Arabidopsis thaliana: one gene and its partners. Changing the gene in region 1 together with any one later gene gives a genetic interaction. Each region holds a gene or a part of one and is shown in the gene's direction. Other genes may lie near its edges.

Evidence for each region.
Region 2: of EIN4 (region 1) and AT1G17345, extra expression of one rescues a mutant of the other (dosage rescue), as found in Arabidopsis thaliana (one study listed by BioGRID).
Region 3: of EIN4 (region 1) and AT5G20820, extra expression of one rescues a mutant of the other (dosage rescue), as found in Arabidopsis thaliana (one study listed by BioGRID).
Region 4: of EIN4 (region 1) and AT1G72430, extra expression of one rescues a mutant of the other (dosage rescue), as found in Arabidopsis thaliana (one study listed by BioGRID).

What each region holds. Positions count from the first base shown.
Region 1 is NC_003074.8:1,234,288-1,241,451, reverse strand, and holds EIN4 (Signal transduction histidine kinase, hybrid-type, ethylene sensor), read left to right. Parts: upstream 1-2,835; 5' UTR 2,836-3,486; coding exon 3,487-5,247; intron 5,248-5,336; coding exon 5,337-5,876; 3' UTR 5,877-6,243; downstream 6,244-7,164. Other genes in the region: AT3G04590 (AT hook motif DNA-binding family protein), read left to right, coding at 1-341, 704-756, 938-1,069, 1,306-1,458, 1,600-1,945, 2,149-2,207.
Region 2 is NC_003070.9:5,938,463-5,943,252, forward strand, and holds AT1G17345 (SAUR-like auxin-responsive protein family), read left to right. Parts: upstream 1-1,829; 5' UTR 1,830-2,062; coding exon 2,063-2,458; 3' UTR 2,459-3,063; downstream 3,064-4,790. Other genes in the region: AT1G17350 (NADH:ubiquinone oxidoreductase intermediate-associated protein 30), read left to right, coding at 3,929-3,980, 4,274-4,387, 4,622-4,678. UniProt on the Arabidopsis thaliana protein: May be involved in the regulation of ethylene receptor signaling. Promotes cell expansion and plant growth.
Region 3 is NC_003076.8:7,045,775-7,049,931, reverse strand, and holds AT5G20820 (SAUR-like auxin-responsive protein family), read left to right. Parts: upstream 1-2,485; 5' UTR 2,486-2,637; coding exon 2,638-3,021; 3' UTR 3,022-3,185; downstream 3,186-4,157. UniProt on the Arabidopsis thaliana protein: May be involved in the regulation of ethylene receptor signaling. Promotes cell expansion and plant growth. Involved in the regulation of cell elongation.
Region 4 is NC_003070.9:27,263,629-27,268,399, reverse strand, and holds AT1G72430 (SAUR-like auxin-responsive protein family), read left to right. Parts: upstream 1-2,593; 5' UTR 2,594-2,890; coding exon 2,891-3,250; 3' UTR 3,251-3,798; downstream 3,799-4,771. Other genes in the region: EDA25 (CCAAT-binding factor), read left to right, coding at 1-75. UniProt on the Arabidopsis thaliana protein: May be involved in the regulation of ethylene receptor signaling. Promotes cell expansion and plant growth.

The sequences.
Region 1 (7,164 bases):
AACCACCGCTTCTACCGGAAACGCCGTTCCATCTTCCAACAATGGGCTTTTCCCTCCGCAGCCTCAGCCACAGCACCAGCCTAATGATGGGTCATCTTCTCTCGCGGTGTACCCTCATTCAGTTCCGTCCTCGGCTGTGACGGCGCCGATGGAGCCGGTAAAGAGGAAGAGGGGTCGACCAAGAAAGTATGTGACGCCGGAACAAGCCCTAGCGGCTAAGAAATTGGCGTCTTCTGCGAGTAGTTCGTCTGCTAAACAGAGGCGAGAGCTTGCTGCTGTTACCGGTGGTACGGTATCGACTAATTCCGGGTCATCCAAGAAATCTCAGCTTGGTTCTGTCGGTGGGTTTAATCTTTTCTTCTTTTGAATCTTATCGTTGGTCAATTTGATATCTAAAGTTTCCAACTTTAAGGTCAATGATTAATCTCCCAATTCTTAAATTTTGATTCTTTAGCTGTTAATTCGTTGGTGTGATTTGAGACGTAAGTGCCTTGAATTAGCATTATGTATAATTTACAGCAGTAGATTTACATCTTGAGTTTCTTAATTACACTGAAGATTGTGTAGTTAGATTCTTGTTTGTATAGTTTATCAATTTGTTTCTTTTTTAGATCCCATTGAGTATCTTTCAAGTGATCCTTTAGTTATATTCTGGAATTTGTGTTATACTCTGAGCTTTACTACAAGTTTTTTGTTGGTGCAGGGAAAACTGGACAATGTTTTACTCCGCATATTGTTAATATAGCTCCTGGCGAGGTATGTCATGTTCTTGTACACTCAAGATCCTTACTTGTAATAGAGATTTGTTGGTGTAGGCACAATATCTATCATTCTTTCAATTCTAAGTCATTCTATTTCTCTTTTTGTTTCATTGATACTAATGCAAATCGAGGAGGATCCTTAATGATTCTAAGTGTTCTCTTTGTGATACTGTCAGGATGTGGTCCAGAAAATTATGATGTTCGCAAACCAAAGCAAGCATGAACTATGCGTTCTTTCTGCATCAGGCACTATCTCTAATGCATCCTTGCGCCAACCGGCTCCATCAGGAGGCAACTTACCATATGAGGTGATTTTCTCTTGCAGTAAAATAGTACTCAGCTTGCTTCTTTGTTGTTTCTTTCCAAAGGGGAGAGGAGGGTTTTTTCTTTCTGATCCTTTCTCTCTATTCTGTGTGATAGAGGAAAATTGATACACAATACAGTTAGCATGTTGATAAAGCAAAGAGATTCTTAATTCAGATACTTTCTTTGAAGTTTGCATATCATTGTTAAACTTGCCTCAAATTTCAAAAAATTTATTCAGGGTCAATACGAGATTCTCTCACTATCTGGATCCTATATCCGAACTGAACAAGGTGGTAAATCCGGCGGCCTTAGCGTTTCTTTATCTGCTTCAGATGGTCAGATCATCGGTGGAGCGATTGGTAGCCATCTCACAGCTGCTGGCCCGGTTCAGGTACAATTCTGTTGTATCATAGTTTCAACTTGCATATATTGAAACATTGTTATTGTTTCCAACCATCTTACACAAAACTGATCATTTCCTAAGATAGGAGGTCTGGCTTTGATTGATCGCCTTAGATTTGTGCAAATGCAGGTGATTCTTGGTACGTTTCAGCTTGATAGAAAGAAGGATGCCGCCGGGAGTGGTGGGAAAGGGGATGCTTCAAACAGTGGAAGTCGGTTAACTTCTCCTGTAAGCTCTGGACAGTTGCTTGGCATGGGTTTCCCTCCTGGTATGGAATCTACGGGAAGAAATCCAATGAGGGGAAACGACGAGCAACATGATCATCATCATCATCAAGCCGGTTTGGGTGGACCTCATCATTTCATGATGCAAGCGCCGCAGGGGATACACATGACACATTCCAGGCCATCTGAATGGCGCGGAGGAGGCAACAGCGGTCATGATGGCAGAGGCGGTGGCGGGTATGATTTGTCAGGTAACAAAAAAGCTCAAAACTTCTCGAAAGATGTCATCTTTCTTCATCAAAGTTCAAACCCTTAAATCCAAACAAGGACAGATTAGAATTGCTATGGAGATTGGTGGAAATTAGTATTTTGTAGAGTTCTAGAAGATTACAGGCTAAAGCTCTTCTCCGTTGTGGCAATGGCTTGAAACGCTGATGGATGTAATCTTGTGCAGGAAGGATAGGACATGAGTCGTCGGAGAATGGAGATTACGAGCAGCAAATACCGGATTAGCAGAGCTTCCAGGAGAAGTGTGTAGAGTTTAGATCCCAAGTAGAGAAACAGAAGGCGAGCAAAGAATCTGAACTGAGAGAGGACTTATTAGACAGAGACTCGTCTGAAGGGTCTTTAATCATAGAAAGAAGTTGCTGAGTGATTGCTTTTGTTCTTCTTCTTGGTACGGTGTATTATATTAACTCCACAACCTTTTTTTTATACTTTCAGTAACGATTCTCCTTCACTTTCAATTTCATTCCTTTTTTTTATACTCTTTTTCTTTTCTTATAATATTTTTTTTGGTTTTTCTTTCGTTTGTTACTAAAAAAGGAAATGCTCTTTTTGTGAAATATATACACTTCGTTTGTTCGGTTTCTACTTATGTTAATTATTCATAACCTATCTTAATTTAGTAAACGGTTCCTATGAGCCGTTACTTGGACCAAAACATTAACTCATTTGACGAAGAACAAAAAAACTCATTTGAGAATTCTGTTTATTTATTCATATTAATATTGATTTAGTTTAAAATTCTTGGTAACTTTATGTCAAGTTGTCAACTTGTAAATTTCTTGATTGATAATGTTGGAATGCTATAACTTATGTGAAGCCAAAAATTACTGTTAAAAATTCTTATCTTTAATGGGAATTTTTTGTTGACATCTAAGCTTAAAGTGAAACACCACCATTTTTATGGACTTGAGCAACTCTCCGGAAATTGCTTAAGCGAAAAGTCTGCTGCTTTTGTCTTAAAAAAACTTTGAATATTGTTGACTCAAGTCTGAAAATCCGCAACTGAAACTCCCGGAAAAGATCTGCCACCACCGGACCAACTCGGTTTCTTCTCTTTTCTAATCACTTCTTCTGTTTCTCCAACTTCTGTGAAAAAGATGTCAGATTGACTCGATTTCGTTGCTACAAATGGAGATGGGTCTTTCTTATTTATCTTACTAGATTCGAGAGGTGTGTTCTTTCTCTATTCTATTGGCTTGAATCTTAGCTTTCGTTTTTCTCTGATTACCTTCCCCTGGAATTTAAAAAAAAAAAACTCAAAGGCGGTTTCTTTTCTCAGTACTACGAATATCGAGGAACATAGATCTTGATTCCTTTGCCTTCTTCTGGGTATGCGTGTTTGGAGTTGTTTAATCTCATTGGTCTCTACGCGTTGTGGAAATCTATGAATACCAAGTCAGTTATGTTTAATTGGTTCATTGGATCTCAACTTGTAGAGAGCCTCAAGATTGTGGCTGGATTTGATTAGGGTTTTAGATAGAGAGATTAAAGATTGGATCAGAAGATGTTAAGATCTTTAGGTCTTGGATTGCTTCTGTTTGCTCTTCTTGCTCTGGTTTCTGGTGATAACGATTACGTGAGCTGTAATTGTGACGACGAAGGTTTCTTAAGTGTCCACACCATCTTAGAATGTCAAAGAGTGAGTGATCTCTTAATAGCCATTGCCTATTTCTCAATACCTCTCGAGCTTCTCTACTTCATTAGCTTCTCCAATGTTCCTTTCAAATGGGTTCTTGTTCAATTCATTGCCTTTATTGTCCTATGTGGAATGACTCATTTGCTTAACGCTTGGACGTATTACGGACCACACTCTTTCCAGCTTATGCTTTGGCTTACCATCTTTAAATTCCTCACGGCGCTTGTCTCGTGTGCCACGGCTATCACGCTCTTGACTTTGATTCCGTTGCTGTTGAAATGGAAAGTTAGAGAGCTTTACTTGAAGCAGAATGTGTTGGAGCTTAATGAAGAGGTTGGATTGATGAAGAGGCAGAAGGAAATGAGTGTGCAGGTGAGAATGCTTACTCGGGAGATCAGGAAATCGCTCGATAAGCATATGATTCTGCGGACTACTCTCGTTGAGCTATCCAAGATTCTTGATTTACAGAACTCTGCTGTTTGGATGCCTAACGAGAACAGAACCGAGATGCATTTGACTCATGAGCTTAGAGCGAATCCGATGAGGAGTTTCAGGGTAATCCCGATTAATGATCCCGATGTTGTTCAGGTTAGGGAGACCAAAGTAGTGACAATTTTGAGGAAAAACTCTGTTCTTGCGGTTGAGAGCAGTGGTTGTGGCGGTTCGGAAGAGTTTGGACCGGTTGCTGCAATTCGGATGCCGATGCTTCACGGATTGAATTTCAAAGGAGGCACTCCCGAGTTTGTGGATACTCCTTATGCTATAATGGTTTTGGTACTTCCGAGTGCGAATTCACGGGTTTGGACCGATAAAGAGATCGAGATAGCGGAAGTTGTTGCTGATCAAGTAGCGGTTGCTATCTCTCATGCCTCAGTTCTTGAAGAATCACAGTTAATGAGAGAAAAACTCGGTATTCAAAACCGAGCTTTACTTCGAGCAAAACAGAACGCGATGATGGCAAGTCAAGCGAGGAACACTTGCCAGAAAGTGATGAGTCATGGAATGAGGAGACCAATGCACACAATTCTTGGTCTACTCTCCATGTTTCAGTCCGAAAGTATGAGTCTTGACCAGAAAATCATCGTTGATGCGCTCATGAAAACAAGCACAGTTCTCTCAGCTTTAATCAACGACGTGATTGACATTTCGCCTAAAGATAACGGGAAATCTGCATTAGAGGTTAAACGGTTCCAGCTACATTCCTTGATAAGAGAAGCCGCTTGTGTTGCTAAATGCTTAAGCGTTTACAAAGGTTACGGTTTTGAGATGGATGTTCAAACGCGGTTGCCTAATTTAGTAGTAGGAGATGAAAAGAGAACGTTTCAGCTTGTGATGTATATGCTTGGGTATATCTTGGATATGACTGATGGAGGCAAAACCGTTACGTTCCGAGTTATCTGTGAAGGTACTGGAACAAGTCAGGACAAGAGCAAAAGAGAAACTGGAATGTGGAAGTCCCATATGTCCGATGATTCCCTCGGTGTGAAATTTGAAGTTGAGATTAATGAGATTCAGAATCCTCCATTGGATGGTTCGGCTATGGCTATGAGACATATTCCGAACAGAAGATATCATAGCAATGGGATTAAGGAAGGCTTGAGCTTAGGCATGTGTAGAAAACTTGCACAGGTTAGTGATCTCATCATGTCTCTGTTTCTGTTTGGTATATAGAGATTCTAATTATAAACAGTGTATTTGATTTGAAATTTGTTTTGCAGATGATGCAAGGAAACATATGGATATCACCTAAATCGCATGGACAAACACAGAGTATGCAATTAGTTCTGAGGTTTCAGACAAGACCATCGATTAGGAGATCAATCTTAGCAGGAAATGCTCCAGAGCTTCAACATCCGAATTCAAATTCCATTCTTCGTGGTCTAAGAATCACTCTAGCAGACGATGATGATGTCAACAGAACCGTGACTAAGAGACTTCTTGAGAAACTCGGCTGCGAAGTAACTGCTGTCTCGTCTGGATTTGAGTGTTTGAATGCGTTGTCAAATGTGGAAATGTCGTATAGAGTTGTGATTTTGGATCTGCAGATGCCGGAGATGGATGGTTTCGAAGTAGCAATGAAGATAAGGAAGTTTTGTGGACATCATTGGCCATTGATTATAGCTTTGACTGCTAGTACTGAAGATCATGTTAGGGAAAGATGTTTGCAAATGGGGATGAATGGTATGATCCAGAAACCGGTTCTTTTGCATGTTATGGCTTCTGAGCTTAGACGGGCTTTGCAGACCGCGAGCGAGTGATTCGAGCTCAGAGAAGGAAGCAGATATCAATGAATCTTGAAAAGCAAAAATCTTGAAACGAAGAAAAGCAGAGTGAGGATTCTTTGAAGATGTGAAGCATAGAGACACCTCTCTGGGGAAATGTTTTTGTTGTTGTTGTTGTCTCGGTTCTACAGTGATGAGAATTGAGTCAGTTTTCTCTATTTAGCCTAGTTTGGAGATTGGTTGGTTCGAAACTATTTATACGTAATGATTTCGCATTTTTAGCGAAAAAATAACATAAGTTTATTAGATTTAATAATAATTAATTTTATAATTTTGTCTTGAGTAAATTCTCTCTGAATATTTATACAATTCTTTTTTTGCATCTCATTATTAAATTCATCATATTTTGTCAAAATTCATCGCTTGTATTCTCTAATCTATTGCTCTAACTTTTTATTCTTTGTTTACTATTTTTTGACATTTTTTATTTAGTTTTACTATTCAGACTGAATGTTTCAAGCATTGTATATTTTGGACATTTCTTTGTCAACCAAAAAGAAATAATATTGTATCAAATCAAATGAAATTTATTAATTATTTATTTTTTGTCAATGTAATTTAGTTAGTATTTTATCAAATGTATTTTTTGTTTGTTTTTTGATATAAACAAAAAGTCTATTTAAAAATACTTTTTTTGACGGCAAAAACTTTATTTGACAGCAAAAACGTTTTTTTCTTAAAGACTAAAGTTTAGACCAGACCACCACACCAAACGTTTGATTGCTAAATGTTAGTATCTATACGAACACCAAAGTTAATGTTATTTAATGCTTTGTGTAGTCTTAAGAACGAACATCACGTAACGCTATAAATTATGTTCGACATATCGATGTTCGAATTTTTTAAAATGTACTTATTTGGATTGGATATTAACAAATACCAAACGACAAAAAATAAATCCCCATTCTAGCTTTAATTCAGTTCTCGTTTCTCTCAAACAATTGACAAAAGAAAATCAGAAGTTTGTAATGGTTATTGGATATCAATTTATTCCTAATTTTCAATCTTTTTTTCTACTATCAATATATTAAGATGTAAAATTAAGAAAAATAAAACTTTTAACAAAAAAATGCATATACGCATTATCAATTTATCATTTGAGTGTTATTTAAAGTGAGGACCATCTACAACGGATATTTATCTTGGGAATTATAAAATTATTCCTTTTTATGTGATAAGCAGTACCTCGGCGTACTACTAATTGTTTTAAAAATCCTTTTATATTGTTTTTTTAGGACCCCTAAGCAATGCTTTTATCTTGTGG
Region 2 (4,790 bases), on another chromosome or scaffold:
TGAACAGAGTCGTAATAACAGGAAAAGCACAGAATAACAGTTACATCTTGTAAATATCCGACTCATACCTTTGTAAAGATCCACGTTTCTTGTTTTCTTTTTTTTTTCTTTCTTTCTTTCTATTCTTAGCAAAATAGATTTCATTCTTGTTTTTTCACCACCACCCACAAAGTTTGATTCTGTTTTTCTGTTTTTGGTATATATAGAGGGTTTGGTTTGTTTGTTTTTCCATTTTTTTCGTAATTTATTAACCGCCAATTCATGCGCGGCAATAAATTGTGTTATTAGACCTTTGAATCCATTGTGTTGAAAAGTTACCAACAAACTAAAACATAGCATCCTGATAGAATTATTGCCAAAAGGTTTCTTTAAAGGTTAGAGAGGCCTGCGTTTCGAGACCGGCTAATTTCTAAGAAATCTGGCCCCAAAAATATTTATCTTTTTGCACCCGAAAACACTTTATGTTAGACGACAGGAGCCTCTGTAGTATACCACCTAAGGCTTTCTTGACACGTCGTGTAATGGGCTGACTTCAGCAACACACCTTCCTATATAGAGTACTTAAAAATGTGGACAAAAGAAAAAGTGTAACAAGATTAGGATTTTTTTAGATGCTTCATGTTTCAAACTCTTTTCATTAAACAAAATCTTTTTAATTGGCTGGTTAAACCAAGGAAAAGGTGTAACGCACTCTTGAAGAACAAGAACATCCCAACTGGCTAATTTGCTCTTGCAACTAACTTATTTGTTCAGAATATTTTTATTTAATTCTTCTCATTAAATAATTTGATTTTGTTGGCTGTTGGCTGGCAATTGTTCGCCCACCAAAACCAAAAGCTGTCGGATATTTCTGAGATTAATAAAAAAAAATATACAGCTCTTTTCTTCAATGTTTCAGAATTCAATTCGATGAGGTTAGATTAACAATAAAAGTTCAATCAACTGAGTTAGTATGTTATACACTACATTGTCTACGAGAACCAGGGGTTCTGTCTACAGTTCAGAATATACCAAACGAGTTCTTGATTACAAAATTGTAGCATCACAATGTCAACATTTATATATTAGTATTTTTAAAACGTATTATATTTTCGAAGAAATATTTTAGTGTAGTACATTGAACCGATCACAGAGTCAAATGCACATAAGCAGGGTATTGTTTACGTGCGATAAACAGGTTTATATCTGGATTCTTTTTATACATATATATATATAAATCATCACACAGATTACTACTACTAATTAATCAACATTAATCACTATCACTAAGGTATTTAACTAATGATGATCGACGACTATTTTGTTGTTTGATTTCTCTTAGGCTAAACTATTGATAAAAACAAGTTTGGATCACTTTATAAAGGTTTTCTATACTTCTTTTACCAATTAGCTTATCTCCCACAATGTGCAGTTCGATCAAAGACAGATGCTTTTGTTTTATGACTTCAATTGTCGAATTAGTTTTTATTCAAGAAAGTATAAATTTAAATACGTACATATTAAAATATATGGACCGCTTGTGTTCAAAAAAACATATATATAATAACTAAACTACAAGATTTTGTGTGTAATAATTAAAAAGCTAAATTACTATACACCCTATTCTTTCGGCCAAAACCGTAACTTTAAGCGCGACACTAAATATAATTATCATGGAGATCTTATCTCAATCATGATGTAATCTTTATCTAAAAATCATCGATCACCCTTGCTTGGTCCGATTCATTGCACAACAAGACACAAGAGTAGATTGTCCAGCCCACATACACACGTATGCACATATCAACATGCATCCACACACACTTACACATAATATATAATATAGATTATTAAATAAAATTTAGAGCAAGGGGACACCAGTTTTACAGATTTTGTAGCCTCCTTTATCTTTCTTAGCTGTTCTCTTTCTCTCCCTGTCCCTCAATATAAATACAAAGAACCCAATACTTCCTTCTTACGTACCAAGAAAGTTAGTTTCTCAATTCCTGATAAAACATACACAAAACAATAATCTTAATTTCAAGAAACTACTACTATTGCTAAAAATCAGAGACTTTCGCTAATGGCTATATTCGGTAAACTGACAAAGCTCAAGTCTGCCATAAAGAAATGGCCTTCCTTGACCAAGAACCACCATTCAACCATGTGTACCGCCTCTACCGCCGTATCTGAGGTCTCAAAGTGCGAGGATCTCCATGTGGTTTACGTCGGAAAGTCACGAAGACCTTACATGCTTAGTTCCCACGTCATCGCTCATCCGCTTTTCCAAGAACTACTTGACCGGTCGTCTAGATTTATCGAAGAACGTCACGACCAAGAGACCGTCTTAGTAGCTTGCGAAGTCGTATTGTTCGAGCACTTGTTATGGATGCTCAAAAACAGTTCCTCTGATCACGGCGATGAGGATGATCGCGAAAGAGGATCCGTCGAGGAGTTGGCTGAGTTCTATACTTATTGACGGCGCGATACATATCCATATATACTTTTATTTCGTTAATTTTGGAATTTGATTCGACATGATCCAATAATGCGGTCATGCACAGACCATTTTCTTTGCTTTTGTTTTTCTCCCGAGCAAATTTTTAGAGTTAACTAGTAATCTTTAACTAATATTATAATTATGTCGGTCGAAAGAGGGTAGTAGTATCTTGCCCCAAATGATGATAAATTGTAACATATGCTAAAATTGTTTTTTATGATTAGCTCCATTTGATATACATGTACTCTACAGTAGTACGTAGTTATGAGATTTTCGAAAGAATAAAAGTGGCCGCCACATGATGATGCGCAGGGCTACCCAATTGCACGGACGGTTGTCCTACTTGCCTTTCTAGTGGCATCAAGCTGTCACGGAAACAAATATTTAAGTATAAATTACTAACTACGTCTATAAGTGTATCCAAGTTGTAATGTGAAGTGAAATTAGGTATAAACTTCTTGGAGTAATTAATTAAACATGACTACGATGTGAGTATGTATGGCTCGTAATCATAATGGTGGTTTTTAATAAAATAATAAAATATAGGATGCTCATTAACTCGACCAGCATAATTATTTATGTAGTTCTTAATATCTCATGTCAAGCTATAGCCTATATGTAGATAATGGGATATCTTTGCCTGAATATAAACAAAGAATTATGTATTTCAACGTTGAAAAAAAATTCGTATTAATTGAATCTGTATAAAAAAATGGACACTTTGTGGATTTACTATTGGGGAATATATTGGAGAACTTGGGCCAAATAGGCCCATTTAATAAGATTGGTCTCGCAAAACGGCATCGTGGCGTAGAAACAGTGACGTGCAGCTTGGTGGTCTTCAAGTTTGACTGTTAATCGGTAAACAGAGGCTGATTGTGCGACGGTGACGGCAAATCCAGTGAGTGAGTTCCTATCATCTTTGCTTCGTTTAGTGGAAACTCTAAAACTTTAGAATAGTTTTAGTTAGTCTTTAGCATTTGGCTTGTTCTAATTATCAGATCTTCTTGTTCTGAGATTTTTCTTTCCTGTGCATTTCGGAGCAGAATATGAATTCATATGGCAACCTTTTTATTAGCGTCTGTGATATATGTCGGGTTTTTCTGAAGGATTTGGGGACAATTTGTTTTTTCACCAGCTGCATTTGTGATTACCTTGATCGATTTTTGGCTGACAAGGTGTTTGTTGAAAAGCTTCAAAGGGTAATAATAGTCTTTAGTCACTAGCGTATGGTTTCTGTTTAGGATGCGTCAACTTCTGATATAGCTAACCTTGCAAAGACATTACTTTTTATACGTTTTCTGGAGTCTGGTTCTGATCATTGAGGTTTTGTGTGTGTGTCATTTAGTGTTTACCATTGAAAAATTGGAGCTTTAATTCCTAACAGTCATTTTTATATATCTTAGACAAGCTTTCTTTGTTTTCATCTGGGAAAGCAGCTACAGAGACATGTCAAGGTTTCGATCGTTGTTGCAAGCCTCAGTAAATGCGACAAAGAAGGGTATTCGCCTGCCACTTTTCCGTCAATTATCATGTGTCGTACTTGATTCTTTGATCTTTTGATTTTTTTTTTGGTTTGTGTGTTGATGTTTCGTTTTATTTTGTGCTTGTGCTTATACTTATTAGACAGTGACTGATTGCAAGTGATGTTTGAGGAAACAATAACGTTGCTTCTATGTTCCAATGCTTACAAACTTTTGGGATCACATATATATTTCTATACTAGCCTTTATGCTTTTGAATGCAGCAAAGATTTGCTAGTTTCTGACTTATCTTCACCCTGTAAACTGTTAGCTCTTACATGGAACGTTGAAGAATGGGTGCCACCTGCAGAGAAGCATATATTTAAGTTCCACTCTAAAGAAGACTTAAAGAAATGGCATCTCTATTCCGACTCTGAATATGGAGGTACTTATGCTGACAGGTTTAAGCATCTGCTCCGTAAAGAGTATCTGATATTGTTTCTGTTGTCATTATCCCTTTCATTTCCATGCCTCGGTGATCCATATGAACAACTATAGACAAAATAAGATTTCTGAAGATCGGCATTGCACAGATTTACATTGATATGTAAACAATATGCTATGCATTTTAATATTTATCTTGTGGCAACCTGTTTGAAGTTTGATACTTATTTGACAGGATTATCTTCGGCTTCCTTGGAGATCCCAGATAAAGGAGATGGATCAGATTGCACTGGTTAGCAACTTTGTAATTTCTTCTGTGATCTATCATCGGCCCTCCAGCATGTCTTGTTGTCATGAAGTTCATCAATAAAACAATATGAGATTTCTTCTATGTCATCATTTCT
Region 3 (4,157 bases), on another chromosome or scaffold:
CCTAAAAAGAACTTAGTAAATGGCAACATAAACTTGATGGTTTAGTGGAGATAGAATAAAGCAAGCTTTAACCATCTTGTTGAATATTTTGACTCAGCCTTAGCATTTTGACCATTTTCACTCCTTGATTGGTCGAATGTCCTAAACACATAACATGATAACTCACATCTACTGCCTCCCGTAGAGGTACATTCAACTTCAGTTCATCTACAAATGTTACTTGATCTTGTGCTACAATCAAATAATTCACATATTGTATTAAGATTTAAGAGTGTCATTAATAGTATGCAAGTGGAGAGGGACGCATAAGTCAATACACACCAACTTGTTGCACATGTCTTTTCTGTTTTGGTATGTTTGACGATGGTCGATTTTCTCACATGTATAGTGCAACAATCTTTGTAACAAGACGGATTTTCATGTCGATGTTGTATAATATATGTGTGGAACAACTTGATCAAATAACCTAAGTTGGTAGAAATTGGATGATATTATTTCTTCTGATGATTATAGATTCGAAGCATTTCTCATTTTTATAACCCTTGTGTCAGAGTTATAATCCTTATGATTAGTCCATATCATTTACATGTATCTCCGATTCTCCACCTTGTGATTAAGACATGGATTTATGAAAGTATGATATAAAATTGATTCTAATTAGGTAATAATAATTTGGAAGAAATAGGGATAATAATATAGGGAGAATTTTTGGGTTTCCGACAATATATATTTTAATGATACAATATTTTGAATAAAGACATCAAAGGATCCAAATGGGTCCTCGCTTACCAACATACACTAAGAGGGAATAGAAGCGGTTTAAGTATTTATTAAACTTTTGGTATTGTTTATAAATGTTTCCTCAAAACAAATGTTTGGTTTTATTGTCCACGGGCTATGCACCACTTAAATAGTGGGGAACACACATGTGTGTGCATTCCCCTTTGTTTAAGGCAATTCTGATATTAAGAACTAAAGCTTTGTATCAACTTTATGAGTAAGTTCCATGCTAGCTTTAGGTTTTTCAAAGGTTTAGATTATATGTCTGCAATGGTGAACGTAAACTATGAATGCATATGCATTATAAGATAGTTTTTCAACGTTTTTTGGCCTTTTGGGAAAGAAACTTCAGTCGTCTAAACGGTTCCTCTAGTACAGCTTGACGCTTTGGCAGGTGATCGAGTCCGCCCAAAAATAGAGAACTTGACATTTTCACTAACAAATTTATTTGATACTATAAATCTGTGATTGGTCGTTGCTCTCATCTTAATTTCTTCTATATTATCTTTACTTGGACTCTTCCGCCAATCTTTTATAAATCTCACACTTTTAATTAATATGATGTCTAGTTTATTACGAAGATTGATAAACTTTTCAATTAATTATAAGTAGACAAACTAGGAGGAGGTCCAATTTCATATTAATATTTTGGTTACATGATTAGAAAGACATTTGATGCCCTTGTGTCGGCTGATTATGATATAAACAATTTTACGTAAAAAAAGAAGAAGACAAATCTTCCGGAACTCACATGCTGTAACAGTAGAAGCCAATACTACGTAAATAATAAATAAACTTCACAAATGAATAATGTCGGAGTCTAATCTAACCACAACAAAATGACAAAATTTTGCAATTTTATAGTATTTGTTATTGTAACATGTTATGTGTAAAAAAAGAGAAGATAATTTTTTTAATCAAAAGCAGAGATAGCCAATTACTTACCTAACTAATTAGAACTAATAAGCCGCTTTAGAAGTTCATGAACCTCCTTTAGTTGTTGGATTAGTTTATTATAATCAAGTGATTACATAAAGTTCACAGCTTCATTTATATTGTTATGATCTTCATTCAAAGAAATTTATATTTTATATAAACGAGAAAAATGGGAACTCCATAAATTTTTAGAAGAAAAATTGTCGTAGTTAAATATCTAACTGAAATTCGTTGAAAGAAAAGAGAATATATTTAAAGTTTCTAATAAATACTATGAAAATCCTTTGAAGAAAAGTACATATTGAATAGAACATATAATCTAGTAAGTTTGTGGTACTCGTTACTTCATCATTTGGATTGAAATGACACAAAAACAAATGTGATGAAGATCCAAACTTAACAAAAATTCATCCAAAATATAAGTTTACACTTTACACACTCGAAGTCTCGAAGGTTCTTACCACAACGTAGTTAAAACGTTAGCCAAATTTAGTTTTAAGAAAATGGTTATGGGGAAATGATGATGTATATGGTTGACTGGGATAACAAAAACTTTTGGAGTGATGTGGGTTTGCATGTTTTAATATATACTTTTAGCTTTATCTTTCCAATTCATAATCATAATCTTTTCGAATAATTGCTTCCGGCTCTTGGAAACTTTTAGATCATTGGATAATGGCTATTCAAAAATCGGTTGATAACCTAAACGTTCTCAAACTTATTAAAACCATGAAATTATACTGAAAATAATAATACTATAATTACGAATCTACCCTTAGCAAGTTATATAAGAACATCATTCTCCTTTCTCTCTTCGACATCGACATTCCTCTTCCTCGCTTCTCTCTCTCTCTCTCTCTCACCGGAAAACTCACTCGGACTTACATTTCCGACGTCAAACTTCTCCAAACCGAATCGGTAATGGCGAAAGGAGGAAACAAACTGATGAAGCTGAAATCAGTTTTGAAGAAACTCAATTCATTCAACACCAAGCCTAACCAGCCACCAGCTCAAACCAATCACAGCCGATCCTCCGCCGTGAGTGCGTTCCCCTCTGAAGACCTTCAAACTGTCTACGTAGGCCGAACACGGAGGACATACCACGTGAGCTCCGATGTCGTGAGCCACCCGCTCTTCCAGCAGCTAGCGGCGGTGGATGGTGGATGCGGCAGCGAGGACGGTTCCATCTCTGTGTCGTGCGAAGTTGTCTTGTTTGAGCATTTGCTTTGGATGTTGGAGAACGCCGACGCCGATGAGTCACGCCCCGAGTCGGTCTACGAACTTGTCGAGTTCTACGCTTGTTAACTCTTTATGATTAATTTAGGTTCAAAATATATTTATGATTAAATGTTACATGTTTGTATATTCTACACTTTGTATACTTTACACTTTACATAGTATTTCGTGAAATAATCTATTTTCTGTTAAATGATACAACAACGATAAAATAAATGTTTAAATGTGTAAATATTGTCTTGCAAGTTGCAATGTAGTTTAAAAATGATGATTTTTTAATGGTTATACAAAGAGCTAAAACTAATTGCAATGTCAATGTTGTATTTGACTGACTTCGTGAACTAGATCAATCACGGGCTACAAAATTTCAAACCCTAATCAATTCATCTTATCTACTTTAGATTGATTGGCCCCTACGTATTTAAATATATTTATAAAATTTATCCGTGTATCTTTTTTTTTCCATAAAAACATACGTATACACGCATGTCATGCACAATTGCACATAAACATACAAACTAAACAATTAAACAATGAACGTATTATATAGATAAATAATTTTGATAAAGTCTAGACGGATTTGCATCTTTTAAAGTCGCAAAAGAAATATGATGACTGAGAAAAAAAAATATAATAAATTAAATCTACATGTGATGTTTTTTAATTTTTGTTTTGGCAAAAGTCATGTAAGAAACTGATTTTATTTGGTAAAATGCAGAATGAAAAAAAAAACGATTAAACATATTTAGGCTTTATGTGAAAAATTAGAAACGAAATTTTTTTCTGACTGGATCGCTAACAGACGAATGCAAGACTTGGAATGGGGTACACCGCTTTTTGGAGATTGGAAACACATGGAAAACCAAATAAGTAGTGCTTGGTGACTTTGGTCCCATAGCAAAGGGTGAAGTTGTGTCTTTCCTGAATTCGAGTGCATGCTGTTTGGGAGAATTCTTTAACTGTTAGCTCCGGCCCAAACAATCGTAAGTAGTGTATACGAATTATATACCAAATCCGACCAGTTCTTGACAATTCGACCACAATCCATCTTCCCCACATTGTTGCATATTATTCATTAGTCTACTTGATTGTCACACATAACAATTTTCGATAACAACATCGAAGAAGAAGACAAGAAATGTGAACATGTTTTCGTACAAGAAGTTATATTTTTGTTTCGTATCACACTTTGACCACCAAATTTT
Region 4 (4,771 bases), on another chromosome or scaffold:
TCGAAGACTAAAAGAAAAGCAACATCAGAGCCCACAAAGAAGAAGAAAAAGAAGAAGTCTAAAGCATCAGAGTAAGAAGCAAGACTTGTTGCTTGCTATGCAAGGCTCCTTATGTTGAGTATTATTATTATACTGTGTAACGCTGGAGATAGTCACTCCAATTTTGTGGCGTTTGTTTTGTATTTCTTTCTTCCTAATGTTTTCATCTTTGAAGAGAATAACTGTACGATTATGTTTTAATTTAATCACTTGAAACTTTGTTCAAATATCACAAAAATTGAGTATTTTTAAAATCAAATATTGAACTTAGTGATGTGAATGTGATGGTATTATGGCAGGCGTGAGAATCCAAGTTGATATAGTGGTAATTGGGTAGTTAGTAAAATCATCTTTGATCTTTACTTGAGTGATATGATTAAGACATGCTTAGTTCTTATGTAACCTTAAATCTTACTTTTTTTTAGGGATAACCGATCCTTTAAAATCGTATTAAAAAAAAAAAACATTTCCAACCTAAACCCATTATGAAAAAAATTTCTGAAATATGTCCAAATCCATAAATGGATCAGGTCAAATAAATAAAAAACACTAGACCATTATTTCTTTTTGGTAGAAACAGTAGACCATTATTTAAACACGAATATAAAATTATGTTTGCTTTGAATTTTAAAATCAATAAAAATTCATTAACCAATAAATCCTTCTAATATATCGATAATATACATTAGGCAACAATTTTCAACTACTACGCTAACAATTTATAGACAGAGATACTTTAAGAAAACAGTGACTGTTTAGTGTTTACCTTTATGCTAATTTCTTTTACAATATGAAGTATATAAATGTATGAAAGACGTATTATATAGAAGTCGAAAAAAATAAAAGTAGATTAGTTGCACAATTGTCGCGCACTTAACATGAACAACACCATCCTAACTGGCTTGTCTCTACTTTAATTTTGGACTCTAGCTTGTTTTTAATACAACTAATCGAAAATTTCTCTTAAATTAAGTTTCTAACCTTTTTAGTAATATTTAATCTAATCCAAAAAAATGAATTTCTAAAAGTATCACACCTTAGAATATTAAGTAATACATGTTGCTACCTTTATATAATTAAGTTATAGCATAACTCGATTTATGCTAATCATTGCAATGATTACGAATCGGAAGTAATTAGTATTCCTAAATTCAGATTGCTTGTTTGTTTCGTGTGATGCCAGTATGTATATGCTGCATATATGCGCGTATCATTTTCCTTTCTTCAAATCTTCAAAAATTCTCTAAGATCTTCACTATTCAAAAATAAAATATTTCACTCTTGATCAAATTGTAGGTCTGGTTTGATGTTTTACTAGCTACATAAGTACATTAAGATAAAGATAGTTATCTAATGTTTAATGATGAGAGAGTACTATATTACTATTTTATTTCTTTTGCTATAAACAAGTACTATATGTTCGACCATTTATAAAAAAGAAGTATCTAAAAATTCCTTAAATGATTAGCTTACCATCCACAACTTTTTTTGTTCGATAAAAGACAGACGGTAAGGTAAGGTCTTCTCCACCTAATTTCTCGGAAATGCCAAACTAACTTTATGAAAAGAATGAGCAATATTTATGATTATGCATTTGCACTAGATAAAAGGACTGTGTCTTGTCGAAAAGAGCATAATATGCTTGTGGTTAGTTTTTGCATCCGTCAATAAAACCTAATTACCGTGTAAATTATATGAGTTTACGAGTTTAATTTTATAGTATGCTTTTTGAATGTTCATATCTAATTTATGTTCTTAATATGAAATGAAGAAAATCGAAGGTAAATCGACAGATGAAGACCATACTTGTTTTCTATAGTACATGATAATATGAACGACAAAAAATTAGCATTATCGGGTAATATTGAACAAAATTGTGGACAAGATGTAATCGTTATCTAAAAAACATCGCTCTTTGTCCGATCATTAGACAACAACACGCAATAAGAGGTTGCCTACACATCTCTACTCACCGCACGTATATGTATATATCTACAAATTATTATATACTATAAGACATCATAATATACAAAATACAATTTAAAAAAAAATTATACAACAAACATGAATGTTTATCAAGCAAGCATTTCCAAAACTGGATTTGTGGTGTCTGACATTTATGTAGGCAAAACAAAATGTCACAGGTAAGAGAAATAGTGTGTATATATAGTATCAAATATATATAAAAAGGAAAAAAAATTGTATCAAATAATTTAATAGTTTTGTTATGTTAAATTAGATAAAATGTTATTTATTATGTATTTTTTATTGATATATATATATATATATATTTAGCCAAATAAATTAATGGTGTAATGATCACTTGTTATATCTGTTTTTTTTAATAGAACGTATTTATCAGTTTTTTCGTAGACCGTATCATTCCCTCATCCATCTATCATAATTTTACAATATTTTTCTTATCAGCAAGTGTAATTTGTAACATGAAAATAAATGAATGAATATGGCAAAATTTATTACAAAATTAAAATTATTACGAATCTCAATATATAATTACAAGATACAACAAAAAAGAAAGAAAAAACAATGGGCAAAAAACGATACTAGTTTTGCCATTTATGTCCTCATCTCTCTTAGCTGTTATGCATCAATCGGTGGGTCATGCACCTATACGTTCTCTCTCTATCTCACTCAATATATATACACGAACCTTCCTCGTTATTTCCTCCCAAGAACATCTCTCAAACATTCCTCTCTTCTTCTTCCAATATTTTGATCCCCACACACACTCACATCAACACATATAAATCTCCTCGTAAACCCTAAACCCTAGCTAGTTTCAACAACTCTCTTGTTCCAACCCCAAGAAAAAAGTTCAATTTCGTTAGCAATGGCCAAAGTTGGGAAGCTGACAAAGCTTAAGTCGGCTATGAAGAAATGGCCTTCTTTCGCCAAGAACCACCACCACTCAACCTCCTCAGCCGCTGTTTCCGACGAACTCTCAGAAGACAACAATCTCCATGTGGTTTACGTTGGTCAAACTCGAAGACCTTACATGCTTAGACCAGACATCATCTCTCACCCACTCTTTCAAGAACTCGTGGATCGGTCTTCTTCTAGATCCATCGAACAAGATCGTGAGATTGTTGTAGCTTGTGAAGTCGTTTTGTTCGAGCACTTGCTGTGGATGCTCAAGTCTGGTCAAGAAGGAGGATCCGTTGAAGAATTGGCTGAGTTCTATACTTATTGACATCGACCGATTGATTTTATACATTTATTTCGTATAATATATACCTTTTTTGTTGTTGTTTGTTGTTGCTGATTTGTATTTTCATTCGATGCGGTGTGTGATCAAAACGTGATCTCGTAAACCATGTCATTTGCTTCCGTTTTTCTGAGCAATTTTATGATGATGATGAGCATATGTAGTTTTCTTACTTTGTTAAGACCAACCAAGAATAAATTTCTACTAACAACAATCTTTATATATATTTTCCTTCAAAATGTATTTCAGTACCTATATTAATTGTAATATACATAAAAAAAGAATGCAATGATTTCAAGAAAACAAACTAAGTTTTCTGGTAGGTTTTGTTTCTATATTTATTTTATTATGGCGGTTTTGTAAACTTTTGTTTCTATTTTCGTAACGTATCTTTCTCATATGAGTCATGAGTCTCATGACATAATAAAGAAGGCCTTTGATGATGTTCGATAAACAAAAGTTGGTTGAATATGATGAGTCCAATTCATTTATTTTGCTTTATATAAACAAAATATGACTAGCAATGATTTCTATCATCGATATTCATTTTTTTTTTTTTTTGCGTATCATTTGTATGGTGTCAGTTTCAAATCTATTTTTGTGTGTGTATAAAATAGAAAATACGTATGCAATTTCTTTTAAGGAAATAATAATGGTCGCTCTCATGACGCGTTGGTGACCTGGTCCCAATTTCATGTCCCTACTCTCCTTTCTAGTTGCAGACATTATATATTTATCTTTTAATATTCTTGAACTTTCAGCCATACAAAATAAATTAAAGCTTACAGGTTAATTAGTCGATATACTAATAAATTTGTAGTTTGTTGTACTAATTGGCATTACTTACACCAACATATGTGCATTAATATACGTTTATAGACATAAATTGGTAGATAAAATAACTGACATTAATTTTCCGAGGTGGGTACGAAAAGGACGCGCAGAATAATTATTGAAGATAAGTATAATTAGTAAGACCAAAATAAATTAATTTCCTACGTAGGACGAAGTTCTAATCATTATAATCAAAGAAAAGAAGTTTCTTTGCTAAGTTTAATTAAGCTTGTTAATTGATTCCGACACGCTAATGATTGACAAGTCACTCGGTGTGTCTTTTCAGCAAACTTCATGGGACTTCTTCTTCTACTTCTGTCTTGTTCCTTACATTACATCAATCCTATGATATTATAGTGTTTATATAAACTCGGTTGGTAGCTAAATTGTTATGGGTTGCTGCTTGTTTTAACGTTGATTATAGAAGAAATTAATAATTACATTTGATTCGAACTCAGGTTAGTTACTAGAAGAAATTGTAACGACCAAAAGACAGTGTTGGGCCTTAGTGGGCCGTGCAAAGAGATGGGAGTTATGAAACGACACCGTTTAGTTTTAACTTAGTGTCAAACACTCTAACCTGAACAGAAGGTCTCAACAATAAGAGGGGGACTAGCAAGAAGACTCTCAAGGGAAGGACAACTTCATGAAAGCTCAGGTGAAGTGAAACCA